Linked DNA regions of Caenorhabditis elegans. The protein of the gene in region 3 purifies or fractionates together with the protein of the main gene of each other region. This does not show direct contact. Each region holds a gene or a part of one and is shown on either strand. Other genes may lie near its edges.

Region 1 (10,186 bases), 1.8 Mb from region 3:
ATATATATGAGCACAATAGTTTTTTGGAACGGAAAATATGAGCTCTTTCTTTTTGAATTTGAGCAAATAAATTCAGAAACTGAAATCATCTCAAAAAAGATTGAATGTGACAATCAATCTTCTTTGCCAAATAGTCAGTAAACAGCCAAGAACACCACAAAATTCACAACATATCACGAATTTCAACAGACAAAATATGGCTATAAAAGGAAATGAATAGAGAAAAAAGAAACGATGAGTGTAGTTTGAGAGCTTTGGGATGCACTCGCGTCCTAAATTAAATTTATATCCTTTCTTCTGGTTTTCTTCGGCAATTCTTCCCGAAAAACCGGAGATTTTTTTTTCGGAAATCTTTGTGGGTGGACGATGACTGATCGAGGCGGTTTTGGTGCACTTGAAATGACGACATCTTCACGAGAGCCGACTTATGGGAATTGGGGAGTCGATGGAGCTGCTCAGTTTTCGAGAATTGCTCATGGACGACACAACCTGTATCGGATTTCCTGCCGTTCTCACATTTGAAAAATGATACCTGACACGTGACGGTTCCTTCCTTGTTACTTTATAAAGTAACCAGCCGTGGTCCGCACCTCCGGCGCGGCCCCCGACTTCTGGAGCTGAAAACTAATTTTTCTGAAGCTACCGTAATCATACAGTACTCCTACCGTGCCACTATTGTACCACTACAGTACCCCGACTATATCCCTACACTAAGCCCAACTCACTATCCCTCCAGAAGCCAAAACGTCACAGACTACAAAGACTACATAGACTACAAACTATGTACAAACGGAATGAGCGCTTTATATATAGTAAATGATAGTTACTTTATAAAGTAATGTAGCTGAAGGAATGAAATTTTGGAATGTCGCCAACATGATGTCTCCTTCACAGTTCTTGCATTCTTTTTTGATTCCTTCCACGTGTGCTCTCAATACTTCAACTTTACGTCATCAACACATTCTGAATAGCGGCTTTTCATTGCAATATGCAGGATCAGGTTGGTTTTGGAATGCTCTCCGTTTCAAGTGCGCACTTGTCTCCGCCATCTCTTTTGTCGTCTTCTACAGTACGCGTCAAGCTTGTCTACAACTGCAAACAGACACACAAATTTGGAGCCGGATTCCTGGTCACGCCTACTTTTTTGATTACGACCTGAGACAGAACAGTCAAAACGAAACATTTTCAAACTTGCCACTAGTAGGTCAGGTCGTCAGATTCTTTGCCAAGGTTCGTTTCAACGTTTCAATAACATTCAAAGTTTTTTAAAACTTCTTTAAATTTTCCAAAATCAGAGAGCCTTTGCAAACGAGTTGCGCAAATTTTTGTGCATTTAGTGCATGTTTACAATTTTCGAATTTGTGCAATTTACAAAATATGTAAGCAATGTGTTTTTGACCGAGTTTTGAGCAATTTTCAAAGATTGCAAAAACTCCAACGTTTAACATTATTCAGTTTATGTTTTTTCTAGTTATTAAAAAATCCTAAAAGGGTAATGGTAAAAATTTGGGGTGGCCATTTGCCTTGCCATTGGTGAGCTGAATCTGGATTAAGCAGAAGTCTTCTGAAAATCAGAGTAAAATAGGGCAGTCCATTTTAGACTTTCTGGTGCAAATATCTCAAAAACTCAATTGTAGAAAAAATATTAGATTGGTTCTGCTGACGTTGTAAAATGTCAAATGTTATACCTTGAGTGGTCACTCGGAATTAGTTATCTAAAAATTCAAAATAAAAAAAACTTCACAACCATGTAATTTCCTTCTATCAAAATTTTATGAACCGAAACTATTCGGCATGTGATGACGTGGCACCTGCCAGGTCATCTTGTGACCCCTCTCTCTCTCTTCCACCTTTTTAACCTCAAAAATGAGTAAAAGAAGAGGCAATTGAGCGTGTACCAATATCATGTTGACATGAAAGACACACCTAGGTTATCAAAGCTATAAAAAGGAACAAATAATTCTTAAACTTTAGTACTTTCACGGCAGAAAACTTCTCTATTCCAGAATGTGGCGTTTCAATTCCTCCTCTTCAATTAAATCTATAATGTTACTGTTAACTGTTTTTATTATGATGGCAAATTGTGAGCAATCTGAGGAAGTTCTCACACGATCCAAGAGAAGTTATTATGGTGGATATGATATGTATGGGTGAGTTTATATATGGAATTGCAATGGAATAGACATACATTTAAAACTACTTGCTTTTCAATATTTTAAAAGTGAGATTATACAGAGTAGTATTTTTTGGTAGGTTAAAAATTTTATTTATCTGAGGGAACATAAAACCAAAACTTCAAAATGTTAATCCACAAGAGAAAAGTTAAGCCAAAATTAGCCAGCTCCGGTAAAATCCGAGCTAAAAACTAAATTTCAAAAACACTATTTTTACCAAATCACTTCGCTGTATTGTTTTAAAAAATCGGCAATTCAAATGTAGCTTTTTAGAGACAATACACTTGTCTTATATTTGCAGCAAAAAATATAATTTGTACAGTACACTAAACTTTGAAGTTCGAGGCGGCAGAAGGCAGGCATTAGGCTCTAGATAGGTATGTAGACACTTACTTGAAGACAATCCTTTGATCATGGAAGCCTTCGTTCATGTTGATTCCATTGCAATTCATAATTTCTAAGCATAACGAGCAATTGGTACGTATCACTGTAGGGGTTCTTGTTGCAGTGACGATTTTTGGTATGCCGGAAGGATTATTGGTATAATTGTTGGAATATGCCTATTGCTCTTTTGTTGTTGCTTACCATGTGTGTGTATTGCTGGAATTTGGTTCGCTGGATGGTTTGGGCTCAGAGGAAAAAATCAAAGAAAGAATACTCAACAAGGTATTTCAACTTGTCAATTTTAATTTTTCCAGTGGATATATTCTAGACAAAATTGCATTTCAGTTCAATCAAATTTCTTGAATTTCATAGATTTGAGACATTTCTAACTGCTTCACATACAAACTAAAAAATTCAGTAAAAATAGCCAATATTTCAGTTTAGTCTCATCTCCTATCATTGCCCAATCTGCTCCTGTTCCAATTCCTGTCAATTATGATAATATTCCTGGTAATGCTAATTATATTCAACACACTCGTCAAGCTCCACGTCAAATCCACGTGGACTCATCACCAAGAGATTCTGAAATATCTCGTGTCATGGTTCCTGGTGATCAGGTCATGTTCTCTGCTGAAGATCGTTATTATACCTCGTCGACGGCTCCGGCAACTGCTCACCGACCTGATGCCTACAATGTTTCTCGATATTAATTTTTCTGTCTTTCACTTTTTCTGCTTGTATATTACGCTTGAATAAATATTTTGAGTCTTAAAATTATTGGCACTGAAACTACCGGTGTACAAGAAGTGTCTTACAGCTACAGCTAGTCTAGATTTCTGGTTTTAGTGGGGAATTTATTTAAACCACTTCTATAGTGATAACATTGTTAATTATCAATATCATAGTAAAGCTTTTCAGAAAAAAGTTGAATATGTTTATGCGCTGTCGAAAAGTGGTAAATTCTCATTTTCACACATCATAACTCTGCAAGTAGACAGAAAAATATGTTTTATACGAGTTTCCTATTTTTCTTATGCCTTTTTTTATTATAATATTGTAGGTTTTAGAGCATTCCACAATGCTATTCCCTGCGAAGGATAAAGTTGCAAAAATTTGACAATTTTCCATAACTTATTTTTTCAAAAAACCTAAAACGATTGTGGGACTTTTTAAACTGGTTTTACTCAACTTTTAAGCTAACCTAGCACTTTTTTATAATTAATTTCACTTCACAAAAACCATCAAGACATGTGCATTGCCTAATTTTAACTCATCCCGTTCTTCGAGCCACTCTCTTTTCCACATCTCTTCCGTCTCTTTTCATCTTTTTCCCAGAAACCGCGACGCGACCGCATTGCATTCTCTTTCCATTGCAAAAAGGACCGCTCGGCAAAACGAGAAAAGAAATAGAGAAAATAGTGAAGAGGGAGAAGCGAGACATAGCGGAGTAAGGCACGCAAATAGAATTCATTGCACCATGATTTCGGGCCCTCGACGGCTTTTTGTCGTGGCGAATATAGTTTTGTCTTAATCAATACCATCAAATTTATGATAATTTAATGATAATGTAGCCACATCCATCCTATTTTTGAGCATGTTCAACAGAATAACTTTGCAAAAAAGGCTTTTACTTTTATTTTTTATAAACGTTACTTATAAAATGTGTGAAACTCCGATCATTGCAAAACCTTAGGCAAATATAAATTAATAGTAATGGTAGTACGATATTTTGAATTACCTTATCAACATGTTTTTGGTTTAAAATCAAATTCTTTTTACATTGTGCTCGTTTCAATTGTGCCAAACTGTTGTCTAATTTGTTGTTTCAAATAAAAAATTAAAATCCAAAATCATGTAAATGATCTTGATCTTCCTATATATTTCTTACATTTCTAGGCATGTCCTTTAAGAATTTGGCTACTTCAAACTTATTTTTTTAATAGCAATGTTTCAGGAAAAATGTGCCTCTAAACCTCAAACAAACCGCCCATCTCTAATTGTTCTATTCAAATTCATTTTCTTCAACCCTCAGTCTTCTCTTCCTTTTTTTGCATAATTCGTCTTCTGATCTCAAAAAGAAACGCAATTTGAATGAGCACCATTGCTGGAGAATCGTCTTCCTCGTCGAAAATGCCAGAAAACTCTCAGCCAACAACAACCGAAAAAGGGTATTTGTACATTTTACATTACAAAGGGTTACACTACATTATTTCAGATCGGAATATTTAGAACAATTGGCAAATGAAGCCGAAGAGCTTAGAAAGAAATTGGATCAAGAGAGGCACAAGCTTAATGACATTCCTAGTAAGTATTTGAAAAAAATTAAAAAGATAATTTATTAGAATACTTCAATTTAAAAAGAGGGACTTTGAAGAAGAACACTACTAAAAAATTGAACTTTACAATTCCTAGGTTAGAAATCCTCCGGAGTCTTTTTTCTTTGTTTTTTTATTGAAAAAATAAACTTTTGAATTAAAAGCTCACAATCAGTGAGGATATTGAATAAAAATATCAATGCGGTTCTTCATAACCGAATATTATAATTGCCCAAATATCAATACACACCAAAAATTACGTCTAAGTTTTGGTAAATTGTCAAATCTAGGTGAAGTTGGACTTTTTGAGAACTTGTTTGACTGAAAAAAGTTGAAAAAAGTTTTTGAAAACTTTAAAGAAATTTGAGTTAAATAATTTGATGAACAAAAAGATACCAGATATGCTTTGTGATATTTGCATAATTCTAAATGTTTTCTCTTTGACTTTTTTGAGGTTATGCCTAATTTACTATTACCAAGAACTACAGTAATCCCAAAACGCACTAAGTAGTTTTTTACATCCTAAGTAATTTTCAGTTCAACAAGCAGCCGAACGACTTGACGTTATGGGAGCTCTTGGTGTAAAACAGCGTCGAATTTTAAAAGGACACGTGGGAAAAGTATTATGCATGGATTGGTCATTGGATAAAAGACATATCGTCTCTTCATCTCAGGTTGGTTTAAAATATGACTTACAAAAGATTCAGTAGTCTTCAAAAATTGAAACCTCGATTTCTAAAATGAATTTGCTCAAATTAGTAAATTTTAGGACGGGAAAGTGATTGTATGGGATGGATTTACTACGAATAAGGAACATGCTCTTACGATGCCAACAACTTGGGTTATGGCATGTGCATTCTCTCCATCGAGTCAAATGATCGCTTGCGGGTAAGATTTCTTTCAAATACTTCAAAGCTTTCAAAAAATACAAACGGTAGTACACGGACTTATAGTGTTCATGAGAATTTATTGTTTTTTTTTTCAAATTATAAAAGAGCTCTTACAGACGGAATTTTCAAAAATTGGCTCATGTATACTTTACCAATTTTGAAGCTTTCATGTTATTAATTAAAAATTTTTATTATTATTTTTTGAATTTTCAAAAATTCCAATTTTACAGAGGACTTGATAATAAATGCAGTGTCGTTCCACTTTCTTTTGAAGATGATATAATTCAAAAGAAAAGACAAGTAGCAACTCATACTTCTTATATGTCATGTTGTACATTCCTTCGTTCGGATAATCTTATTTTAACTGGAAGTGGAGATTCAACATGTGCTATTTGGGATGTTGAAAGTGGACAACTTATTCAGGTTTTTTATTCTCGCGAATCGGAAACCCAATTCAAAAATTCAGAATTTCCATGGTCATACTGGTGATGTATTTGCAATCGATGTTCCAAAATGTGATACTGGAAATACATTTATTTCCGCAGGAGCTGACAAACATTCTCTTGTATGGGATATTCGTTCAGGACAATGTGTACAATCATTTGAAGGACATGAAGCTGATATTAATACTGTTCGATTTCATCCAAATGGTGATGCATTTGCAACTGGATCTGATGATGCTACTGTAAGTCACAAGTGTTTAAACTTCTTCATTATTGAAAATTGGAGAAGGGATGGGAAATTATGGAAGCCTTGCACGACCATGTGTCGAATTACGCAGCTAGTGTACTCCTCGAGAAGAAGTGACAATATGCCCACTTCTCCTCGGGGAGTACACGAGCTGCGTAAATCGACACATGGCCGTGCAAGAGAATCTTAATTAAATTTCACGGTTATTCTTCCATTTTTCGAAAATTATAGTTTGGGAGAAAGTCGCGAGAGTTGCTTGTTTTGTCTGAAAATATTACTTTTTCCAGTGTCGCTTATTCGATCTTCGAGCAGATCGTCAAGTATGTGTGTATGAAAAAGAATCAATCTTGTTCCCCGTAAATGGAGTCGATTTCAGTTTGAGCGGTACGTTTAAATCTTCACAAAAACGTATAGTCCAAATCAATTCAATGCATCTCTGAAATTCACAGAACTAAACTTTTCACTCTAACTATTAAAAAATTACAGGTCGTATTCTATTTGCTGGTTATGGTGATTATCGTGTCGGTGTATGGGATTCGCTGAAATGCGCCCGTCATTCAGTACTTTATGGACATGAGAATCGTATTAGTTGCCTCCGAACTTCTCCTGATGGAACAGCCGTCTGCTCGGCGAGCTGGGATTGCACAATTCGCATTTGGGCTTGATTATTTAATATTAATTTTTCTCTTACAATTTTTGAGCTTTATGTCACTTTACTCATCCCCCTTCCCACCAGTCTCTATCCCTGTACTATTATCTAACCATCCCACTATTTTCTCCTATCTCAACTTTCTAGTCACAAATACTGTAAAGTACTCGTTCATTGCTGAATGATGTAAATAGAATTCACTAAATACACCTGTTAAAATACAATTCAAAAAGGCAAGGGTGAACTGTGAGGAAAGGAAAATTACATAACAAAAAAGAAAGAAGTGTGGAAAGTAGAGTATTCAATGAGCAACGTATGGCAAATTATCAGAGAATATTAAAAGGAAGAAATTCAGTGAATTGGTTATAAAGAGAAAAGTGGAAATTTTGATAAAACTGTTGCCCCGAAGATTTGATGAAGAAATGTGAAAATTATAAGTCAAATACTTATGCGCAGCAGAAGCATCTGACGCAGTTGATGATGATCGAGAGAATCGTGCAGACGGCAAGGAAGAGAAGAAGAACAGTAACCCAATCCTGAAAGAAACAAATTTAGAAATTAACATATTTAAATTTCAGCAGATCTTTTGAAAAATGAATTATTACCTGAAGACGGAAGCAACACTGATCAGCAATCTGTCCGCAGCACTTGAAGTACCAGAAAACGTTCTCTTCTGGGCAAGCTTGTCCGACAACTGGAAGTGGGCATGCCAATGGACTCCTTCTGATCGTGAGTGGCTCAATCGATTTGACGTAGTCGAGAAGATCATCTCCTTCGGCACTGACTGATGGGGCACAGGCAAGAAGTGCCATAGCGAAGAGGAACAGTGGAAGAGTGTATGACGACATTTCTGAAATTGCAAAAATGTTCAAAAAAAAGAAACGAATAAGAAATAGTTTTCAAATGATAGAAAATAAATCGAAGCAAGGGAGAAATGAGATGGGAAAGAAGAAAATGATGAGTAGATGGAAATGGAATTGAATCGGATTACTGCAACTAGTCTCGGTAGCAGATAGAGTAAGATTGAATAACGGAAAAAAGCAGAGTTTAGCTTTCAGATGGCGAATTTGCCTGACGCGGTTCCGCAATTATTCCCGATGTAGTCCAATGTAACAACAGGTTTCACTCTATAATTTACTGTTATGTAATAGAAAGTAAAAATGTAAATGTTCTGACTACCTATTTTGTAGAATTTATATTCTACAACAGTAGTAACTAGCTTTCAAGAAAAGTTGCATTGAATATGAGATTGGCAAATATGTTTTGGAATTTGTTTGCCATTGTTACCTATTTGCAAATATATTCCTGTGTAAAAACATCGTCAGTAGTTAGAACAATAATTAAAAATGCAAATGCAAAAGCTGTGGTTCAATAGAAACAGAAAAACCTACAAAATCCACAAAGCAAATTTTTTTTCTAACTAGATAAATCTTTTGGTGTATGCCAATTGTACACCTTTAAATCGGTTTTCGAAACGTTTAGAAAGTGACTGACGGTCACTGAGAAGGTCAAACCAATGATGACTGCGACTTTGATTTCCAAATGTTGTAAGATCGATACAAGGTTGATACAATTCACAATTGCAGGTTGGAAACGAGGAGAAAGGACGACGAAAACAAAAAGGCCGGCTATTAGCTAAATCAAACTGACGGCTAGCAAGAAATCCATGCTAGAGAAAGTGAACAATTGAAATAAAAAAGAAAAGAAAGAAACGTCGCACTTTTTTCGAACAATTCGGAAACAAAACATTATTGCGAAATCAAAAATTTGAAACTTGTTTCTGAAAATTTTCTAGCGTTTTATACTTGTTGTATGTGAAGAAAGAACAACGCATACAGTTGTGATTCATAGCTCAATGTGTAAAAAAAGAGTGACTGAACAGTGGCTAGTAATATAAATGCAAATAAGAGAGACAGAACGAACCGTTGAAGAACGAAGTAAAAAAATCGGTTGGTCATCCGTCACGGCTTCTTCCTTCCTTTCTTTCATCTCTCAATTTCCGTTGAATACGAAAATGAGAAGGATGGGGTGTAGATCTGCTATTTTCACTACCCAAAAGAGGTTATCATATAGGAAAGCGAAAGGTGACATGATTGAAAGGGCTGCTGACCCGAAAAAGCCGAAAATCGACCCACAAAGAAAATGGCTAATCACCCTTTCTTCTCTGCAGGGTTTCATTAAAACCTTCAGCTCTTCTCGTTTCCCTTTTAAATATTTTCGACGAGAATATGAACACTGTGAGAGATATTTAGGGAAAGAAACATGACACTATGTCGGCCTTCTGATGCATAACTGACGATTTTTTTTCATCCAAAAAACCAGGAGTACATAACTAAAAACATGAAGGTTTCGACCACAAGTAGCCGGAGAAGAAGACCAAATGAGACAATCAAGATAGAAATGTCGTTGAAAACCAATCGAATTGGGGCACACCCAAAAATGTGAACATGTAGGAAGGTTCGTTGTTTAGATGGCTATGAAGATGACGGTTATTGTTAGGACACAAGAGGGAAGAAAAGAGGAGAAGGACAAATAACGATATTGACTCTATCAAAAGGGTATCACACAGTTATGGTTTTTGTGAGACTCGTAAGTATTAAACAACATTAACTATCGTGCGCACAACACAAAGCGCGTTATTTACGGACCAATCGATGTGTGTGGGGACCGCGAATAGTGTCCATAAAGGAGACGCCGGTGGTTGATAAAAAGGAATGGTGGACGACGACGTCCTTGACGAGTCGCTAATGTGAAAAGAAAATATTGATTGTTGGTTGCCACAGTCAGGTAGCTGGCTGAATGAAATGAAAAATGGAGTTTCTACAAACAAAGAGAATCAGGCAGAGATAGCATTTTTTGAGACGAAAAGTGAGAATTTTTCTGTTTGGGAACCTTAATTAAAACTTGAAATTCTATCTTAAACCTGAAGATTTAATTAATTAATTCCAAAATGATCCTTAAGATCTTTTATAATTCTCGTTACTTTTTTTCAATTTCACATTCATCATACAAAAAATCGAGAGACAAAAATTTGAAAAAAAACTGCCTTTTATTTCTAATTCAAAATGAATTAAGGTACATGAA
Region 2 (10,541 bases), 650 kb from region 3:
GTCCAGGAAAAGAGGGAAATTGAAATTTCGAGGTCAAAAATTAAATAAACTAAAATCGTTGAAAATGATCGTAGAGAGCTGTGCTTTCAGCTTGCATTCGGTATTTATGTACTAATTACGAATTTGACATAAAATCCCATTCGGTAGTGGAAAATTTTTTATTTTTCCAGCAAAAACGTCATTTTTTTTGAGAAAATTATGAAATTTGCGATTTCTGAAGTTATTTTTGACTTTTTTGTAAAAAAAATTATATTTTTGAAGAGTAAATTTCCTGAAAAATACGTTTTTCGAAAAATTTACCCCAAAAAGTGCCAAACTGACCGACTTATAGGCGAAAGAATCTCAAAAATCACTAATTTGCACACCAAAAACACCAGGGGGAATTCGCACAATTTCATTGAAAAATCGTGAATTTATGCTTTTTTCGTAACTTTCCGGTTGGATAATGAGAAAACTATTTAGAAAAACGGAATCTACGTTAAAATTTACATTTGATAATGTAAAATAAAACAAAAATACGAACGTTAAACATGTTTTCAACGCAATTTTCGAAATTCCGGGATTTTTCGAGTCCGATTTTCAAATCATCATAACTCAGTTCAAAATAGATGAAATTGCAAAAACTAAAAATTTTTAACAATCCCAGATATACAGTTACCTTATCAAAAACATTTTATACTATGACCTCTAAACGTGTGCAAAAAAAGCGACACGACACGCGAAAAAAGTGATTTTTTCGTGTTTCATCAAGAATTTCTCTTAAAAGATAAAATCAAATCAAATAACCATTTAGATAGTAAGATAGAAAAAGCGATTCTCTATTTCCTACAAAAAAGAAAATTGAAAAATGTGCAGGTACAGCAAAGTTAGACACGAAAGTGCACACCCAACTTTTTAAATTTTTTGTGACACTTTGTGCGCAAAAAGTGACGACCCTTGCACATTCCATATTTAACATAGGAAGAAGGCAGAAAAAAGGCGCCACGTAGCATTATTTAGAAACGTTCAACTCCTAGGCTTTTTATTATGTTTCCGCAGCGAAAAATGTTTTCTCGGATAATTAATGAAAATTAACAGTGAATTTGATATTTGTCTTCTTTTCTCAAGCTATCGTGATTAATTCTCCCAACGTTCGTTCCATGTTAAACACTTTTATAATTTATTATTTTCAGACATCAAGAAGAAAAGCAAACGAGCCCGAATCGAGGCGACAAAAAAGGAAAGATTATCAGTAAAAGGTGAGTTTCCTTTGTCCTTTTATCGTAGCTTTGAAATTCGAAATGATTATGACGAAATGACATTGTTTGATAGAAATGCAGCGGCTGTCCAATAGTTTTGATAGTTCTGATAGACGTTTTGATAGTTTTCAGCAGGTTTCAATGTTTCCGGCTTTATAGGATCTCTGAAATTCCTAGAATATTCCGTTAAATTAGAGTAATGACTCACCTAGAATCGATTTTCTTCTGCTTGGTTCTTCGATTTTGAAACCAAACTTTGACCTGATTGTCACTAAGACCAAGGGATTCCGCTAGTTTTGCTCGAGTCGACCCACTGAGATAGCCTGAAGTGTTGAATGATTCTTCTAGCTTCTGAAAAATGTGATTCTCAAAAACACCTATGATGAATTTTGTAGCAATCTCTTCATTTTAAAATTTGAAATGTCACAAACTTCATGATCTACATTAGATGTACAAATATGTAAAATGAAGAACCTGTAGCGATTGCTGTGACTGAATTCGAGCTTTGTTTTAACTTCTTCTCGAACGATAATCGTTTTTAAACAATCTCAACAGTTTCATTTTCTGCCTTACCTCTAATTGCTCATCGGTGAATACAGTACGCGGTCTCTTCGGTCTCTCCAAATCAAGTTTTGCTGGAATTTCAAGCATCTTCTCTGAACCATTAGCACTCTTGATGCGAATAACTCGTATGAACTCTGTATCGGCAGAAGGCATAGTTGAATCAAGAAAATAAAGTGTGAATAAATGGAATGAGCTGAGAAGAGCAACATATGGTACATCACAGGATGATACTTGAAAGTGGGTGGGAACTAGCAGGCTGTCAGCAGTAATTACTCCAACGTATTGTTAATTGTATTCTTGGAATAAGGATAAGAAAGTGCCAAGTTTGAATAGAAACAAAACAAAACACTTTTGAATTGACTCATTTGACTGAGAGTTGCAAGATATTTGATGCTTAGACTGTAAATAATTGCATTAAAAACAATAGGAAGCTAGTGCATAGGTGAATCGCTAATATCCCCAGGATATTTTTTTATTCAACTATTCCGTGACTCCAATTTAGTATAAAGCTTTCAGGCTGAAGGCATTTTCACCTGCTGTGTGATTATTCTTACCAGTTTAAAACTTGAAATTATAGTACCAAAAAAATGGTGTCTGTTTTTTGATTTTTCCGGGGAAAAGGTTCAATTTAAAAAAAAAGAAATTATTTATATTTTTTCTCTTCGAAAAATCAACATAATTTTGATAAATCAATAGTTTTCCCCGGGTCCCCGGGTTTTCGTTGTGAATTTTTAATACATATTGGATTTTCTGTAAATTGGAAGATTAGATATATCCAGACAATTTTATTAATGGAAGTGAACTAAAACCTTTTCCCACTGTTTGATTTTGGGTGATCCGTTGCGGAATCCGTTCGTGCTCATAATCGGTATTCTGTAAATTTATTCAAAATCTCTATTGTTCCAAAAATTTCCCGTGTCGTAGCACATTTTGGTTGTTTTTTCCCGCAAAATTTTCATCTTCAGACATCTATGTAATATAAGAAATTTTTATTCTTCAAAAAACCCTTTCCTTGTGTTTCTTATTCCCAGAGTTCCCCATAGTTTCGAATATATATTAAGGTGTAACACAGACATAAAAATAAGAATAAATAATTTTATTGAACATCAACGCCTACAAAAAGCTGAAAATAATGATATACTGACACATTAATAATATATTATGTAACAACTCCGGTTCTGAAAGTTGATTTTTTTGAGACAATCACACCAGGTAGAGGGTAAGAGAAAATGAAATTTATATATGATTTTTGGAAAAAAAAAGAACTGAGACGTTATGATATCGTCATTTTTGGTGCGAATTACCATTTTCAAATCAAATTATTTTTGAGTAGATATAATTGAAAAAAGTTAGGTTGAAACACCTAAATACGCTAGCGGTACCTTACAGATACTTTTAAAATTTTGAAAAAAAAACGAGAAGTGTGCCAAAAAAGCAGGAGAACTCTGTGTGAAATGAATGAGGGAAACAAAAATTGATTTTCTGAAAAGATTAAAATAATATGGGTAATAGAAAGAAATATAACACTTTGTACACGTTTTTGTGAGAAAATAGGATTACAAATTAGTATATCGTGAAAATGAAGAAGAAGCTGGCAGGAGATGTGGATTATGATGGACTAGAAGAGTCTGAAGAGACTGTGGAATTACATGTATTATCGATCGATTTGGAAGAGAAAATAAGGTCAAAATATGCAGTGTTGGGTGGTTCGAGATTGTTAATTTTGAGAAGAAGTTCATTGATAATACACATATCAAATGGTTCGCTTCGAAATATTTAAATTTGCGTGTAAAACCGATGCAGAGGATACTGATTTCCCTTTTTGATGGTCGTTATTTGATTTGGTTTTTTTTTTGAGAAAGAAGAGGGAAAAGTGAAAAAGAATATACAGAGAGACGCAGACACGTACGTACACGCAGAAAAGAGAAACGAGATGTGAGAAGAGAATGACGTCATTCGGGATCCGGTCTGCAAAATAAAGAAATGAGCTGAAGAGAGTAGGTCATGAGTTTAGCTTTGATGGATTTGAGTCATTAGTCTTTGGCCAAAAAATCTCATGGCAACTGCCAAGACAGGAGATTTAAGCACCAACAGGTTACAGAAAAAATGATTGGGAATACTAACTCAAAAAAAACTAGCCGATATTTAAAGGTGTATATCGCCAGTTTATCCTATTTGAACAAAAGCTTAACTAATATATAAATTTAACAGTTTTGGAGTTAATTGTTCGTGTGGTAGGATTGTCCCATTTTAATAGATTTTTCTGACATATTTCCACAACTTACTTGACCCCATGAGCCTGTCGAACTGGCAGCGAGTCGGACGATAGCTGTTTTGGGAGAACTTGACCAGTCCCGATGGAATCTTGCGGCTGAAGATATCAAAGTTTTCATACATAATTTCCTGGAAAATCTTGCCTTTGCTGGTTTACTCGTTGCTGGTTTTTTAGTTGTACCCATGTTGAATACGAAGTTGCGCCACCCGAGTCGCTTTGTTCCGTGCTGTTGCGCTGCTGTCAATACTGCTTTGTAGATTTGGGATCGGACGAAACGTGGATATGAATCCTTTGCCATCAATGTGAACACGTGCTCTTCAGAATGATAGAATGCGAATCTCATTTGTGAAGCATCTTTCGCTTTCGAAATACACTCCAATGTCTGATCGAGGGTTCTATTGTCTACATTTACTTGTGCAGGTGCTCCTTGAGCCAAAAATTCTTCTCGTATTCTTTCAGCTTTCTGGTATATCTGCTCATTCGGTGCATATTTCAAATCTTGTATCGCTATCCAGAACCGTATATTTTCCGACGAAAATTCGGATTCTAAAAATGTTTCGAGCACTTGCCGTCCTATAGGATCTTTCACAAGCTCTTGAACAGAAAGTCCCCATCGTTTTACCCGTTTCTCGGTAGGGATCTCGGCACTTGACCTGAAAAAGTATTTGCAATAAAGATTAAAGATTAAATAATAATTTACGTGTCAGTAGGCTGATTCCAAAATGAAGCTTCATCACTGATCCATGGATTGGATGGTTGTGGAGGGTGAAGGAATGGATCGAATTCAGCTCTTTGGTCAACCCACGTCACCATTCTGAAACACGAATTATTTAATTGAATCTATTGTCTTTTGATATCTGATCCATTATCAGTTCGAAATTCAATCTTAATAATACATATTTTGATTCGATTCAGCTAGGAAAAGTTTACAATTGGATTGAATATACTCACGTATCCGATGCTTTTAATGCTTTTAGCCATGGCTTTGTCTTGATTGCAAATCGTAATCGATCCATAAGACATCTATAACCTTGTGCATTCTGCCGTCGTATTTTCTTTTCTATTTTCATATAAGGGTCCTCTAGGAAATTTGGTCCACCACGACTTGGTTTTCGTATCTTCCAAAACGCTCGTTCTTCTGAATCGAACACTACCTTGTCCACTTTCTTTTTTTCTTTTTGCTGCTTCAATTGAAGCTCAGACTGTTGAACGATGAAAGCCCACATGTGTGCGAGAACATCGGCAAGTCTGAAAATTTATTTTTGAATGCCATATGTATTGAAAATTCAAAATACTTTTCTATCACCAGAGATAACTTTCAGATTTCGAGAAAGATAACTCAATAATCTAAAAAAAATTAAATTATTATTTCGATTTTTCATTCTGCAGCGATGCACGTTCAAAAAATTAAAAACCCAATTTTTAAAAGGTTAAAAATAATAGCTTTCGACTCCAAAACTGAAATCATAAAAATGCCAAAACTAATCTCTGTACACTTTGACATTTTTCGTGATCTCAGTAAGATTTCTTGGCGAAGCTTTACCAATTTATTTCTAAGTCGTGAGGATTGTTCAATATTTTCTGACTAAATAATTTTTCCTAATGTCCGAAATAATGTCCCATACCTGTTGAATGACTCAACTTCATCTTCTTCTAACCCGTGTTTTTGCTCATTTCGGAGCAATCGCTTGTTGAGGTAAATGGCTGAAATATAGTGGATCAGATACAATAACTTTTCTTGGAATTACCATATTCAACATCCGGAACCAGTTCAGCCTGTGAAGGCCAAAAATACGGCCTTTGAAGCCTGTATAACGTTCCATCGTCTTTGAAAGGTTGGCCCTGAATTAATTTTTAATTTAAAATACTTAAGTTAAACACTGAAAAACTGCAGTCTTTAACTTACATGTTCGATAACTGGAAACATGTAACCGTGGTGAAGTAACAAACTTGCCAGATGACTCGCTTCAGCCTCATCGTCAGGAGCACCCTGTTAAAAATTAAAAATTTATTTTCATAATTTTTGTGATTTTCTTGTCAGAAGCTTTATAAGTTTTCAAATAAGTGCTCCTGCTGTATTTGAGAGGAAAGTAAACTCACTCGCTCAAGAACGAGAGCTATCAATTGCTGACCGGTGATGGCATGAGGCACGGCGATCCGGAAGTATTTATGCGTTTTCAATTGCGCACCTTCCATCACTCGCTTCGCGAGCACCTCGATCTAAAATTTTCAAAAGAAATTTTAAGAAAATTGAACTTCAAATGAAATACCTTGGTCAACGGTGGCATCATACAAAATGCGGGGTTTGAGAGCAGCGTGTCTCAATCAGCTCGACAGCTTTTGATATTTTTGAATTAAATATTAGAATAATAATCTGCAAATTGAATATTTGAGAACTGTATCATACGGTTGCAGATCAGTAAACGATGATGGAGATGATAGGAATGAAAAATAATAAAATAGTAAGGCCAAAATGCTTAGATCTCTAGTTCTCTGACTCTCTCGTTCTCTATTTCTTTCTTCTCCGGGGATGGGGGACTGCTGTGGTGCGTGGTGGGCGGAGAGGGGGGCGAGGGGGTGCTTATGTGTGTATATGTGAGCGGGTGAGGAGAGTGAGGGTTTGTGCGCGTGTGTGTGTGAGTGTGGATTTTGAGTGAGAATGTGAGACATACGACGAAGCTGTCTTCCTGAATTCAAACGCAGACAGGCAAAGTCAATAGCGCAGGCGACGAGAGCGGCGCCTTCCCTTCTCTGCCTAGTCGCCGGGTCCCCTACAGCCCAATGATTTCCAATAATCGAGCAGTCTAACGTCTCTCACTCTCTCAATTACTCTGTGGCTCCGAGAGGGCTTCGAGAGCCCTCTATGTGTGTGCATGTGTGTGTCAGAGATGCGTGAGTGAGTGTGTGCGTGTGCTGCTACTGCTGCTGCTTCTCCTTCTTTTCACTTCACGGATCGATCTCGTCGTCTCGAGTTGTCACAATCAGCAGTAGAAGCAGTATTCCAGGCTTCTTCTCATTCTTCTGCGTCTCTTGTGTCCACTTCTTTCCCCTTTTATTCAATTTCGATGTGCTACGGCTTCGAAGACGACGACAGCGACAACGAGCTTCTTCTTCTTTTCCCTTTAACATCTCAGTCTCTTCAACATGTATATGGTGTGTGTTGCTTTTTGGTAGTGGTGGTAGGCGAAGGATACTACTACTTTCTACTCTTCCCCTCATCTAGCTTTTTTTTTGGAGAAAAAATGTCAAAAAAGTGAAAAACGGGTTGATTGTTTCGTATTTCAACTATTGCGAACATTGTCAACGATCTTTGATTCTGATTTTAATATTCGTTCAGGGCATTGAAAATTGATTACACAATAGTTTCAGTAATCTTTTGGGATATTTGACTGCTCGGTTTTCTTCTGCAAATGGATCAACATTCTTCCGTCGATTGCTGATTCTCTTTGAAATTTTCAGTACTTAAAAAAAATTTGGGAAAATCTCAAATCCGCTTAAAATCCGCTTAAAATCTGCTAAAAATTTTGAGAAATCTGTACAGAATTTAGGCATCACAGCAGGATCTACCGGTTTTCGACGTTGATTAGAAAATAAATAGAAAGTTCAATAGAATTTCCAAAATATAATTTGGGTTGTCAAATCAAAAAAAAAAAGAAAGTAATTGCGGAATAAATAAAATAATAAATTTATTGGTTTTATTAATCAGAGTTTTATGTTCCAGATTCAGAACAAATCGTCATAATAAAGAGTGATAAATTAACACATTCGTTTGTGGTTCTTCCTGTTTCAATCAATACTGATTTTCAATTTTCCGATGGGAAATTCATGCGAATCGACCTCCGATCATCTTTTCGCTCGCAGAGTTATCATCTTTCATTTCCAATAGAAAAAGACGGAGAAACTTGAATATAAACAACCCATAAACTGTGTATTATATTGCTGGGAAAACTGAATAGGTTCGAAATGTGTTGATGGATACGGTGTTCAATTCGGTGTTTGCACACTAAAGAGAGATAGAGAGAACTGGCAATAGGAGAGTGACGAGACAACTAGACGGTCACATCGTATTTGTTCATCACGTTTTACTTTTTTCCTGATTTTACTACCATTTAGCTTGGCTCTGTAGTTTTCTTATCGTTAAAGATAGTTTTTTTTGAAATAAAAATGCCAATTTTGGTTTTATTTCAGAGAAAATCGGAAGAGAAGCGTCGTCAAAGACGTAAAACGTCTCTTTCGAAACAAAGTGACGATGGCGACGACGACGTTTTACACGAAACAACGATGTAATTGGATAGAAGGAAGAGATGCAAAAGTTGATGAAGTTATGAGAGAATGGATGCATAAGTAAACTATTCTGAAAATCTTAAACTAATATTTTAATTACCTTTTTACAGATTCTGCACCTTTCAAGATGTCAAAATTTGTGTTTCAACATTTAATGTGAATGGAAGAAGCCCATTGTCAGTTTTCCCCACATGGTTTTCTCAAAAACCCGAGGATATCGCAGAATTTTATGCTGTTGGGTGAGTTTTACATGCTTGTTTATGAAGTATATTCATTGATAAGGAAGTATTCTTGATAAGGAAAAAGTAGTAATGAATTTTTAAAAAACAAACACGCTAAAGTATTCAATCCACTAAAAATTTCAGTCTTCAAGAAATGGATCTTTCCGTTGGAACTTATATAATTGACAATACAAAGAAAATGGAAGGATGGGTTGATGCGATTCACTGTTCTTTACCAGGAGGACGAACGCAATTCAATGTGGTGAGCAGTTTATTGAAAATTGGTATAAAAATATATTCTGTCAAACGGAAAAAAAATACAAGTTAAAAAATTCTATTAATATTGTCCAGACACAAAACAAAATTTTGCAGGCGCCAAAAATAACGGTACACTGTTTGCCGAATTTTCATTGATTTTGCATAATTTTTCAATAAAATTCATAAAAAAGTTTTCAAATATAACAATAAAATATTATTATCGAAAAACTGCCTCAAAATCGATTAAAAATCTGCAGAAATGAAAGTTTGCAACCACAGTAGTTTTTAAAGGCGCACACTTTTTAGCATTTAACAAAAGTTTTGAAAATCTATCTATCTTTCACTCTTAATAAGTAATAATCAAATTTTATGATTTTTTGAACATATCGATTGAAAAGATACTCAAATCAACAAAAAAAGCTGTTCCAATGTACCGATTTTTTGAAAATTGCACTGGAAACCGACCAAAAAGCCAAAAAAAAAGTTGTGAATCTATTCAAAAAAAAATCTGCAAACGTACCCCATTATCTATCTTTTTTCAGGTAGGATCAATGCGTCTCGTTGGAATATTTGTAATCGTTTTTCAAGCGGTTAATAGCAAAGTACGAGTCAGTGATGTGAATGTGAAATATGTTGCAACGGGAATATCAGTTCTAGTTAACAAATTGGGTAATAAAGGAGGAACAGCAGTTTCAATGAAAATGAATGACACTTGGGTTTGCTTTGTGAATGCTCATTTCGCAGCTGGTAACAATGAATTAGAACGGAGAAATCAAGATTTTCGAGATATTTACAATGATATGGTATTTTATCCGAGAAGTCAACAGGAAGGTTTGGTGAGTTGATTTTCATTTAAAAAAAAAAGAAACTTTTAAACTGAGGATTCTGCTTTAAAATAACCAAAATTATTCTCATATGCAAAGCGAAAAAAAAATCGAGAAAGCAATGAAAAATCCAACTCAAAAAATTCGATTTTTCTATTTTTTATTTCGGTTTTTTCAATTATATAGCAGATTAACCAAAAATGAAAGTCGAGCTTTTAAAAGTTCGATTTTTTGTTTTTGTTCTGTGATGTCTTCGAATTTAAATGTTTTAAAAAACAAAATCAAACAGTTAATCATATTGTAAAATATCTAGAATTCAAATTTTCAGCGTGATCGTCCTCTTGAAGTTCCAATAATGTGCCTCTATGATCATGATGTCGTTTTCTGGTTTGGAGACTTGAATTATCGATTAAACACTGATATGTATGGAATTTCAAACGACGAAGTTCGACGAATAGCTTCAAGTGATAAATTTGCTGATTTGCTCCAACATTGTCAGCTCCGCGAACAAATGGCTCGTGGTACCGTTTTCAAAGATTTCGAAGAACCATCAACGTTACCATTTCGACCAACTTATAAATACGATTGTGGAACGAATACATGGGATACAAGTGAAAAAGGAAGAGTTCCTGCATGGACTGATCGAATTTTAACATTTAAAAAGTATCCACAAGTTGGATTGGAATCAATGTGAGTTTATATCAAAACTATTATTTATAAAATATTATTTAAATTTAAAAACTAGAAAAAACTCTAAATTCGAGAAAAAAAGAAGAAAGTCATACATTTTTTTCAATTTTTGCAGCAGAAATATTTTTGCTAACAATAATTTAAAAAATAGGCTGTCGTTTTTTGGGAAAAAATTGAAAAAAAAAAT
Region 3 (11,171 bases):
TTTATATTTCAAAAAACATTTTTTCAGCTATCGCGTGATTCTTCAAATCAGTCTGTGATTGAACTATCGGATACTTCTCCTCAAAAAGAAACTTCCCAACAGTCCCCAAAAGCTCCGAAAACTCCGAAAACTCCAAAAACTCCAAAAGTTTCGAGAGAAGAACGAGAAAAGCAGAAGAGAGAGAAAATGGAGGAAAGGGAAAAGCAACGAATCGAACGCGAACGAATTCTTGAGGAAAAGCGTTTAGAAAAAGATAAGCTAGCCGAAGAGAAACGTTTGGACAAGGAGAAAAAAGAAAAGTAAAGATTTTTTAGAAATTATTAAATTTATTTTACATCTAATTGTTTTCAGGGAACGGTTGGATAAGAAGTTGGAAGAAGATAAGAAAAAAGAGGAAAAACGGAAAGAGGCTGAAGAGAAAAAGAAAAAAGATGAAGAAGAGAAAATGAAGAAGGATGAAGAAAGGAACAAAAGAAAGAAGGAAGAAGAAGAAAAGAAAGAAGCTAAACGGCGGGAAGATGAGGAAAAGAAAGAAGCAAAAAGAAAGGAAGAAGAGGCTATCGAAGAGAGAAAGCGTCGACAGTCTGCACTTTTCGCTAAATTCTTCTCGAAAGTCGAAAAGAAAAAAGTTGCAGAACCTCAGAAAGAGTCTTCTAACTGGTATCTACCATTCGAGAGAAAGGATGGAATGTCTCTCGCAAAAATTATTTCAAGAGATCCACTTCCCGACGATGCTGATATTTTTACACAACACGAAGAGGTATAATTCGAAAATTTTATTTATTTTCATAGTTTTTATTTCAAGATTAACTCGATCGCTTCATTCATTGAATCTGCGGCAAAAATTGTACCAATTGAATCTTCAAAGGCCAGGTAAGTACATAGTTTTTTAGAAAATCACATTTTCGAAAATTTGAAGCTTTGTTTATTCAGATTTTATTTACATTAGAAACACCTTTTCATCTGAAGAAATTTATTTTTATTTCTTATTAGTAAGATTTCTCAGTGCGTATACTCGAACGATTTGTTTTTAGCATGCCTGTATATAGGTTTTTATTATTTTAATAATTTTCATATCGAAATAGTTTTCCAAAAATTATTCTAAACTTTATATTGTCCCAGGGATTCTAATACGTAACTAAATTATATTTTTCTTCAATTGTAGTTCAAAAATATTATTCCAAATGACTAAAAATACTAACATTTGTGATATAACTTTCAGAAATATGAAGGCAAAGTTGTTCCAATTTCATGGAAATCGTCGTCCACAGTACTATGGAACATGGCGAAAGAAGTCAAAAATTGTATCCGGATCGTGTCCATTGGCAGAAGAAATTGGTATTGATTATAATGTGAGCTTGTCTGCCAATCAGCGAAAAAAAATCTTAAATTGATAAATTTCAGGTTGTATCGGATGACGAGTGGGAAGACGAACCTTCTGATGGTGAAGAATGCAATTCCGATGATGATGCTGTTAGTTTTCTTTTAATTTCAGTTTCTTTTTAAATCAATAATTATGATCAAGATTTCAATATATTTTGACACATTTAACTTGATTATTTTTCAGGAAAAGGATAACGACGATGACGATGGTGGTGAGGAAGATGATGGATTCTTTGTTCCACCGTGTTATCTTTCGGATGGAGAAGGTGATGAAGATTCGACATCTGATAATGACATTGCTGGAGATAAAAAGAAGGAAAAACAACCAAAAAGAATCACAATTGATTCGGATGATGATGAGAATTCAACAGATGCAGCCGAACGAAAAGCTCGTCTTGCTCAACGTGCCGAAGATTGGGCAAAGAGAACCGGTAAAAAGGAACTGGCAATGAAGCCAAGAGCTGTTGGACCTGTTTTTAATAATTGTGATGATCAACCAGAAGAATTTAAGTTTATGATTGCAGTCAAGTTCTACTAATCATTTCCGAAAGCTATACTAGAATCGGATTGACAGTTTTAGTTATTCTACTGTCTAATTTTTTATTTAAAATTCCAATCCTTTTTAAATATGGTTTTCTTTCTTTTTGACTGTGAATGTCTCCCTTGCGTCCCGTAGTATTTATCATTTTCTGTTCGTATATTCCCTTCTCCTAACCAGAATTTCATCTAAATTTATGATTATTTTCAAATTTAATTTCCCGAATAATTTTAAAACTTGTATTTTCTGGTGTATTTTTCATTCTCAAAGCCAAAATGGTGGACGAGAAGAAGAAGGAAAAATGAAGGAAAAAAAGAAGAGGAAGCCCCTTTCGTACACACACACACACACACACGCATATACGTACAAAATAACGAGAGAGCCAGACGACGAGAGCTCTTCGGGGAAGAAACAAGCATGCGAGACGCAGATACGTAGACTACGAGTTGCGTGCGAAAGAGACTACGCGTCGCGTGTCCCGCGCACGCGACGCGTCCCCTTGCTTCTTCGAGCTCTCGATGTATGGGGGTCCTTTGAAGCTTTTGGGTTTCTTGGCACTTCTTGGAAGATCTTTCATAGAATAGTTTTAGCCATTTTTGTGGTTATATTTAATACTTAACATCGTTCATCTGATCTGAAAAAAAAAGAAGATAAATTTGATATTCAAATTCCTCACTTATTTGCCAATTAGATTTTAATTGCTCTCTTCAAACATTCATTTTTTAAAAAGATAATTATGTTCAAAGTACACTGAAAAGGAAAATAATTCACACATTTCGGATCTTTATGGAACATTCCTGAAAATGTTACCGATTTTTTGGCATTTTTTCGTTGATAATTGTCAAGTTTTATACTTATCAAACTGTTATTCTTATCTATACAATTTTCAAATATACCTGTATCTACCAAATCTACCAATTTACTATGCCCTGTTCTATATGTAACCCCGCCTTCTTTCTGGTATAAATGCCAAATTTGTTTTTTAAGTTGCAAAACCCCCTTCTTAAAAATATCTGAGTGGTATTTTCTAAAACTAAATGATTATTTTAAAACTGTTTCATACATGTAGGAAAAGTAAGCTTCACCTATTTTTTGAGGCATTTTATTTTTTTATAATGCGATCGGTATTTCTATAGCTCGGAGCAATTTAAAATTTTATTTTTCGTTTTTTTTAAATATTAATATAATGTACATTAGTTTCTATGAAGTTGAAACTATAAAGTTTTCATTTGGATTTGCAGTTTATTTTGGAAATCTCAATACTATTTTTAAATGAAATTCATTTCCTTGCTACGCTCCAATAAAACCTACATTGTAAGACTGTAAAACTAGATGATTTAATTAGATGTAGGTTACAACTATAAATCAATCAATTCTCTGCAAAAAATACGCACTCCTTCTGTCTCTCTTTCTATATGTATCTCACTGGCTCCAATGCTCTCTCAATGCTTCCTCAAGTCATTATCGATTCTCTGCATCTATGAGTCTCTCTCTCCGCCACTTTCTTTCTCGTCGCAGCTTCACTGAGCCACGCAGAGCAAGAGCAGGGGGAGCAATGCGCCCTCCTTGTGCTCTTTTTCTCTCTGTATCTCTCTCACTCTCTAATATCTCGCCCTTTCTACACAAAATGTGTGTGCATCCATCCATTTCATGCTTCTTCTTCTTCTTCTTCTTTACCACCGAAAAGCAACACAAATAGAAAAAAGACGAAAATAAGAGAATGAGAGACACAGAGAAGATATGTATACAAGCAGAGAATCGATCATCTATGCTTGACCAAAAGCTGAAATTGGTAATAAAAAGGAACTGTAATAAACATTTTAAAGTAGTGTTGCTATGAAAATTCTAGTAAGATTCAGCACTGTCAAAATATTAATTCAAAACATTACCAAAATTTTTAAATAATCTAGAATAGAGCTATGATCTAATACTATAAAATACCGACATTATTTTCTAGAACAAATTAGAATTTCAAATACTATTTTTCAATTACAAATTCTCATAATCCCCAGTACACGAAAAATGATGGGTTTTTTGAAATGTCAATTCAAATTGAAAAACCATATATTTCAATCCTGATTGAGTATGTCGATGAGCATTCATTTTTTAGAACCTCCTTCCCAATTAAATTTTCAATAGACGCAAAACGTACTCACAATAATTTGGATCTTTTTCTGAATAACACACCAGAGACTAATTCTGAGAACTGAATCTATTTAATATTTAAAAAATTAGTGAACAACAATTATCATTCATATCCATGAATTATTGCTTTCTTTTTCTTACAGTCCCTAAAGTAAATTTTTTATTTTACGGTTCCAATAATTAAACTAATTATTTTCAATTTTGGAGCTACATTAACCCTGTCGCTTATATATGAACCACAACTTTCAGTTTTACAATAAATATTTCAAAACTGAACTTATATTTCTACTCACAGGTTAAAAAAAACTGAATTCCTTTGAGCCTAAAAATTATTATGTAATAATTTTGAAGTAACTCTAACTATGGGTGTTGTAAAAATATTTTTTTCAGTGTTTTTTTTAAGAAAAAAAAGGAAACATTGGATACCTATAAAAAGACGAGCAATAAAAAATACCCGGGTAACTATTAAGAATATGCTGACTTTTATCAAGAATATGCTGATTATAATAAGAAATATAGCAACATTATAATTTTTAAACAAAAAAATGCAATCTAAAAATGTCTCGCTTTAAAAAACCTAAAATATTTCTCTAACCACCTATACAGTTCTTTTACTAATTCTTCTCAAGTCTTTCTATTTCAAATTAAATATTAATTTTTACAGAAACTGTTTTGACAATTACGTGCTTGTTTGACCATTCACCTCCTCCTCCCCCACCCGGTCCTCCTCGCTCCCCAAATTTCTTGGCTGACATTTCCGTTCAGGAGCTCGTCAGCTCGGCGCGCAGCCCGCAGGAGGTGTGGTGGGTGGTCGGAGGACTCAATCTTTGTTCTTCTGCCACGAGGAGATCGAGAATTGTAGAAGAATAAACAAAAAAAGAATCAAAATAAGAAATATACAATAATCAAGACAAACCACGGAAACTGTAGCTGTAGTGTGATCTTCTAAAACAACACAAAAGCTTCACCACACCGCAAACGTTTATCATTGGTCTCGGTTTCTCGACGTCTCCATTCTTTTTCTCTATTTCTCTTAATCTCTACTACTGTCTCGTACTTGCTCGATTTGGACACACCGCGGTTAGGCTTCTTTGAATAAGGTGGCACTAACCGCGGAATGCGACAGCATTCCATGGCCAATCCAAAGAAAATACAGGAGGTTTGTTTCCATTTTTAAATTAAACTGACAGTGATTACGTGGCCAACAAAAGTTGATGTCCGAACTTTCCACTATTCGCGAAACTCTATCTGTGACCTGAAAATTATCATCATAAAAATAATATAAATCAACCGTGTAATTTTAAAAGGAGGTGCATAGTCAGTAGTAGTTCAGTTCACAAATACATTTATAATAGTCTAAAATGCCCAAATACCATAAATAAACTCTCAAAAATGTTGCTGAGTTTCCAAATTTTTCAGTCAACGTTTTGGTAAATTGCCAATTTTCAAAATGTGGACTTTTTGATTATGAGTATTTTTGTAGGTTTAAACTCCTAGAATGGTTAAGTATGTACAAACAATTAAAACGCAATACAAATATAAAACTAGCAGAACAATTTTTTTGGTAGTCTTCCAGAATTATGATGACTGAAAACTGAGCTTTCACCTTTTTTTACTGTGCATATAAACTTTTAAGTATAATTTTGAAAAGGTTTACTATGATTTTTGAATAATTTCTCAACTTCAATAAAATAGACTTTTGAAATAACATTTTCGAGAAATTGGTAAATTGCCAATTTTTGTAAAGAATGAATAATTTCATACCAAAACGTCCAACTTCTTCAATGTTTGAATTCAAATTATCGAAACAAAATTAGAAAAACCGTAGAAAAAAAGGGTATAGTTATCTACACATGTATAGTTTTTATCAGAAACAATTATCTCCCAAAGGCCAATTTTAGTAAGAAAACTCGACTTTAAAAAGTAAACATTATAAAAGAAAAAATAAATTATCTAAAAATATTAAAATTGATGAAAAGAAAAACAAATTTGCTTGAAACTCGAAAATAACAGAAATATTTCAAAAATCTTCAAAAAGAGTGGGAATCAAAAATCCCTCCATTCCGATCAGAATATGTCTCTATTTTTCTTTTCGTTTACCATACCATCACAGATGTTTGACTAAATACTTGAGAAAACGAAGCACAAAAACTGTTCACGGATACCTCAGATCGTCACCGCCAATCGCCATCCGCCCCCGCTCACTTGTCGGTGATCCGATATATCCCTCGGGGGAGGCGGAGAAATGGGCGGAGATGACAAACAATCGGGGGCGGGGATTGGGTGTGCAGCCACGTGTCATGATTTTTAAAAATGGAAATAAGAGAAATGAGTACTGTTTTACAGCTGGTGCACGAGTGCAACGTGCAACTTGCACTCTTCCGTGTAGCAACACAAGGAATCGGAACCGCCCAAGATGGTGCATCATTAAGGAGGTTTGTTGCTTTTTCCCCTTTCTTTTTTATTTTATCTTCAAGTTGTTTTTTTTTTCAAAAAATCTATATATCGAATATTACAGGGAAGTCGAAACAGCGGGTCGAGCCTGTCAGAAAGCAGTTGAAGCAGCAAATAATGTTGTTCTTCCGCAGTTAAGGGCAGATGGTAAGAATATATTTGAAACTAAAAAAAAGGTTAATTTGGGAGAATAATTAAAAAAAAATCAAAGACGTTGATATGATAATTCTTGTTTTAATTTTTTATTCAAAAAAATTAAGTTTTGAATGTTCACTATTACAATGTGCTGTAATTTCATAATTATAAAAATTAAAACTTTTCGAAAACATTTTTTATCAAGATCTATTTTTATCAGCATTAATTTGTTAAAAAAATGCTTAAATATTATAGAAATGATATTTTTCAAAATTGTGCCATGAATTTTTTCCCATTCTGTTTCAAGAGTAGTTCGATCGAAATTATTTCTGATTGTGAGCAAAAGTAATGAGACAGTTTTATTTTTACAATTTTTGTGATTGAATATTATTTCTTGTTTTTATTTGAAAAATATAAACTCTTTGTAGCTTCAAAAATATTAACTTTTTAAGGTTTAATCGTTTTAAAAATAAATTTCAGAAGCAGAAATAGCTCGTCATGGATCATTATTTATTGGATGTGTTGGTGCATATCTGATAGAAATGAAACGTTGTGTAAAGTTGGAAAAAACATTTCCTGCTCCAACAGAACCATCAGTAACACCTCAACAAGTGGAAAGAGTTGAAGTCATTTTGGATACTCTTGAGAATTTAATAACGGTGCATTATTCGACAAATGAGCAACCGTGTTTGGATAAGGTAAGACTTTTGTTTTAAATATTGAAAACTACGTGCAATAGAGAATTATTAAATAATATCGGTTACTGTAACTCAATAGCTCGAGAGTTTCTGAACTAACTTAATTCAAGTCGATGTTCAAGGCATCGTCCTTGGGAATTTTGTAAAACAACACTCATAACCAAATATTTAACATAAACTATTTTTTTGGGCCAAGCTTGGGCAAGCCGTGACAATGAGGAAATTTTTTTAATTAATTATATGTATAGTTTTAAGATAACCGAATATTATAGAACAATAGTTCCACACATTTTTTGAATTTTTTTAGTTTCAGTAAAAAAATATGCAATTACGCACAGCCAATTTGCACCTATCATAACTTTAAAAGTCGATTTAAAAAGTTTTTTCTCTAGGTTTTCAAAAAGTATTATGCTTCAACTATTTATATTTGAAAATTTTAGAGGTTCTAACTTGATTGACTTTATTTTTAAATTTCAAAGTTTTCAAGTTTTCAAAAAGTTTGGCAATTTACCAAAACTATGAATAAATGTTTCGAAAATTCTAAATCATTTTACTTAAGATATTTCTCTTGTTAATTCATTCCGAGTATATTTTGACGAAATCCCCACTGGCACTTTCAAATACAAAATAATATATTTCACAACTCTTCGGCAAAAAGTTCAACGTTGCCCTAAATAATGTTAAATATTTCAGTTGCAAGTAACACCACGAAGAAGGAGAGCCACATCGTGTCGACCGCAGTGCGTATGTTCAAAATTGAAAACGAGTTATGCATGAAAAATGAATAATGAGCTCGAATTTCACAATTATCAAAACGGATCAACAAGCCCCGCCCACTTTTCTTTCGGTTTTCTTCACGTTTTTCTCTACGCCAATGTTTCTTTCTTATAGGTAAGTATTTGAAGTTTTGATCTGAATTCTTTAGAGAAATAAATTTAAAAAATGTTATGCAAAAAATTAAATAACGTCTGTGAACTTAAATTATTGAAAATGAGTTGTAATGAAATTTTTTTCAAAAAATTTTAAAGGAAAAATTGAGTAAAAATTACGAGTCTTCTTCCCAATGCATTGGAAAATAATATTTTTTCAGAAAATTAATTTTTGAACAATCTAGTGTACGCTAATAGCGTTTAATAATCTTTTTAAAAAATTAAATTGCTTTTGAGGTGTAGTATTGTGGGAATTTTTCTTTAAAATACCCAAACTAGTCTGAATTTCCAAAAAGTAAAAAAACAAAAACAAAAAAAAATTTACTCGATTTTCAAATTATGATTAAAAAAAAAAATATCTTGAAACTTCCTCGAAAAATAAGAACTGCAAGACCAATCAGCGAATCGCCCCGCCCACTTTTGCACTAATGAAATTAGAAGTGGGCGTGGCGTTTCCTATTGGAGGAAATTCATTCCCAATTTTTAGAGTTAGGTATTTTTCATTTGTACTGATTTTCTTCTGGATATTTTAAAAGCGAACTTTCCATTTACTCTACACCACCTTAAAAATGTAGAACTTCATAGCTACAGTAACCTTACAGTAACCCAAACATTTTACAGGTGCAGACATTGCTTGGCTTCATCTCCATCTGGTGTCTTCCATTCTTAAAGCCACAAAAAAGTGTTTTCTTCAAATTTTAAATTTAAATAGTTGTAAAATCGCCTAGTAGTTTTGTAACTTTTCCATATTTTTAAAAAAATTTCTTCTAGTCAATTACCTCAAATAGGTTAACTCAAACCTGTAAAAAGTGAACTGATTCTGACCAAAATATTCCCCCAAAAAATTGAATTTTTTGCGACATTTTGCATATTTATTGTCTAAGTCGAAGATTGTCGATTTTGATTTTTCAAATTTGAAAAAAAAATCGATCGATAATCAACATTTCCGTTTTATTTACATCATCAAAGCTCAAAAAATATAATATATTCATTTCATACCTGTTGGCGCCTGACCTTTCCCGGAAAATTTAAAGTTTTTATTATAATAATAGGCATAATTTCTTCCCTCAAATTACAAAATAATGTCTTTTTTTGCATAATTTTTTCCTCTTTCTCAACATTTTTCATGAATTTTTTTTCTGAAAATTTGTACATCGTATCAATGTATTTTTGTGCAAAAAAAAACTACCAACTACCCCTTTCGTTTCCAACCCACCCACAATTTGATCAAAGTTTGTCTTTTTTTTGTCTGAATTTGAAAAATAAATTGAAAATTCATATTGCAGGCGGTGTATTTTACATGAGATCGGGCGATAAAAATGATATTGGGATGACTTGGAACAAAAATTGAAAGAAACAAATTAAATAAATAACAAAACAATATAACATGTCCCGTTTTCATCGCATAGATAGTCTATGTTATGAAATAGGGAGACTTCTAGATTTGTTTCAACTTGGAAACATTTAACTAATCGTCGTTTTCTTCGGCTTCAGAAGGCACGTAGTCCTCATCAACTTCTTCAACTTTTTCCTGAACTTTCTTGACTTCAACCTGCAAAACGCTATTTTGAAGCATGGAAATATTAATTCAATGATTCTAAATTATATATCACAGACAATTTAAAAATTACAGAATTAGAAAAATAAACTACACAACTAGAATTCGAAAGAATTTCCAAAAAAAAAATCCAGTCGGTTTTGGAAAATTGTTTTAGTCGACTTCCAAAATTTTGAGTGACAAAAACTGAGCAATTGTCACTTTTTGATTTCCACTTTTTTTTGAAACATTTTACTATTATATTTGGTAATTTTGGCACCATAGACGTAGTTTTTTTAAACCTACGTTGTGCGATTTCTGATGAAAAACAAAGGAGATCGATCCACATTCGAAGACGGCTCGGAGCACATTATCAGCCACCTGAAAATTAAAATATTTAAAAATAAAGATAATAAATACAAACTTTTCTAGCTGATTTCTGAGAATGAAACCAATTCGATAAATCACTTGCACAGTCCGCATTGGTTGGTGGATCAACACTTTCAACTCCTTGAATACATCTTTTACATTTTAATCTGAAAGAAATTTATACAATTGTACATTATAATGCATAACATTATTATAACTATCAGAAGAAAAATTCACCAAAAATAAAATCGGTTTTATAAAAAATATTATTTTCATTCTGATACTTACTTTTCATGTGTATCCGATGCCACTGTTGATTCCAACTTGAAGAGTTCTCGAAGTTGCTCGGAACTAAAATGACGAGCTACGTCTTCACCCGCATCAACCTGAAATTTTTAAGATAACTATTAAATACCCAGATACTGATAATAATAACCACATAATAATCTGCAATTTTCACTCTAAAATTAAGTTAGTTACCGCGTCTCGACACGACCAATTTTTCAATTAAAAATGGCGAGCGCCTTTAAAGAGTACCGTGGTTCTAGGTTTTTTTTCAGAATTTTCAGCAAATTAAGATACATGTAATACAGTATTTGAAAAGGCGAAAAAGAAATAGCAAAAAATTAAAAAAAAGTTTCACGATAACGAGGAATTGAGAACTACAGTACTCCTGAAAGGCGCACACTCATTTGCATTTGAGAAAAGTCGAAGCGGGGAACCGAATTTTTTGACAAAATCGCAAAATTTAACATTTTAGTTCTAGTAGTCTTTAGAACATTTTTAGATTATATGAACAAGAGGAAATCTTACCACACACGATGACAATGCTTTTTTATGTGTCTGACGTTGAAACATTTTCTCTTCAATTGATCCAGTTGCTAAAAGTCTATAGATGAAACACATTTTCTTCTGTCCATCTCTCCAAACTCTCGCCATTGCTTGATCGTCATTCGCTGGATTCCAATCCGGATCAAACATAA

What was found.
Region 1: the proteins of rsbp-1 (region 3) and gpb-2 purify together in Caenorhabditis elegans (affinity purification with western blotting, with the first as the bait; one study listed by BioGRID). This does not show direct contact.
Region 2: the proteins of rsbp-1 (region 3) and eat-16 purify together in Caenorhabditis elegans (affinity purification with western blotting, with the first as the bait; one study listed by BioGRID). This does not show direct contact.

Annotation. Positions count from the first base shown.
Region 1 is NC_003279.8:7,315,412-7,325,597, reverse strand, and holds gpb-2 (Guanine nucleotide-binding protein subunit beta-2), read left to right. Parts: upstream 1-4,512; 5' UTR 4,513-4,649; coding exon 4,650-4,726; intron 4,727-4,773; coding exon 4,774-4,862; intron 4,863-5,410; coding exon 5,411-5,547; intron 5,548-5,642; coding exon 5,643-5,761; intron 5,762-5,993; coding exon 5,994-6,186; intron 6,187-6,229; coding exon 6,230-6,448; intron 6,449-6,740; coding exon 6,741-6,837; intron 6,838-6,939; coding exon 6,940-7,118; 3' UTR 7,119-7,308; downstream 7,309-10,186. Other genes in the region: F52A8.3 (uncharacterized protein), read left to right, coding at 2,008-2,150, 2,683-2,840, 3,003-3,268; F52A8.1 (DUF2650 domain-containing protein), read right to left, coding at 7,549-7,638, 7,708-7,950. UniProt on the Caenorhabditis elegans protein: Guanine nucleotide-binding proteins (G proteins) are involved as a modulator or transducer in various transmembrane signaling systems.
Region 2 is NC_003279.8:9,718,631-9,729,171, reverse strand, and holds eat-16 (Regulator of G-protein signaling 7), read right to left. Parts: upstream 6,452-10,541; 5' UTR 6,369-6,451; coding exon 6,348-6,368; intron 6,298-6,347; coding exon 6,178-6,297; intron 6,068-6,177; coding exon 5,984-6,067; intron 5,920-5,983; coding exon 5,826-5,919; intron 5,782-5,825; coding exon 5,703-5,781; intron 5,326-5,702; coding exon 5,029-5,325; intron 4,892-5,028; coding exon 4,778-4,891; intron 4,731-4,777; coding exon 4,220-4,730; intron 4,206-4,219; coding exon of another isoform or gene 4,192-4,205; exon of another isoform or gene 4,174-4,191; coding exon 4,088-4,173; intron 3,771-4,087; coding exon 3,755-3,770; 3' UTR 2,888-3,754; downstream 1-2,887. Other genes in the region: Homeobox protein ceh-5, read right to left, coding at 1,285-1,402, 1,447-1,589, 1,812-1,955; ocrl-1 (Rho-GAP domain-containing protein), read left to right, coding at 8,327-8,421, 8,472-8,600, 8,727-8,844, 9,383-9,676, 9,993-10,354.
Region 3 is NC_003279.8:9,068,637-9,079,807, reverse strand, and holds rsbp-1 (Abi_C domain-containing protein), read left to right. Parts: upstream 1-4,730; 5' UTR 4,731-4,738; coding exon of another isoform or gene 4,739-4,936; 5' UTR 4,937-5,183; coding exon 5,184-5,225; exon of another isoform or gene 5,226-5,227; intron 5,228-5,822; exon of another isoform or gene 5,823-5,843; intron 5,844-6,412; coding exon 6,413-6,501; intron 6,502-6,584; coding exon 6,585-6,667; intron 6,668-7,135; coding exon 7,136-7,353; intron 7,354-8,046; coding exon 8,047-8,130; 3' UTR 8,131-8,244; intron 8,245-8,903; 3' UTR 8,904-8,958; downstream 8,959-11,171. Other genes in the region: chaf-1 (Chromatin assembly factor 1 subunit A dimerization domain-containing protein), read left to right, coding at 28-299, 352-760, 806-873, 1,223-1,352, 1,405-1,473, 1,568-1,921; T06D10.8 (uncharacterized protein), read left to right, coding at 4,739-4,936; rad-54.L (DNA repair and recombination protein RAD54-like), read right to left, coding at 9,751-9,834, 10,126-10,200, 10,244-10,355, 10,477-10,574, 11,002-11,171.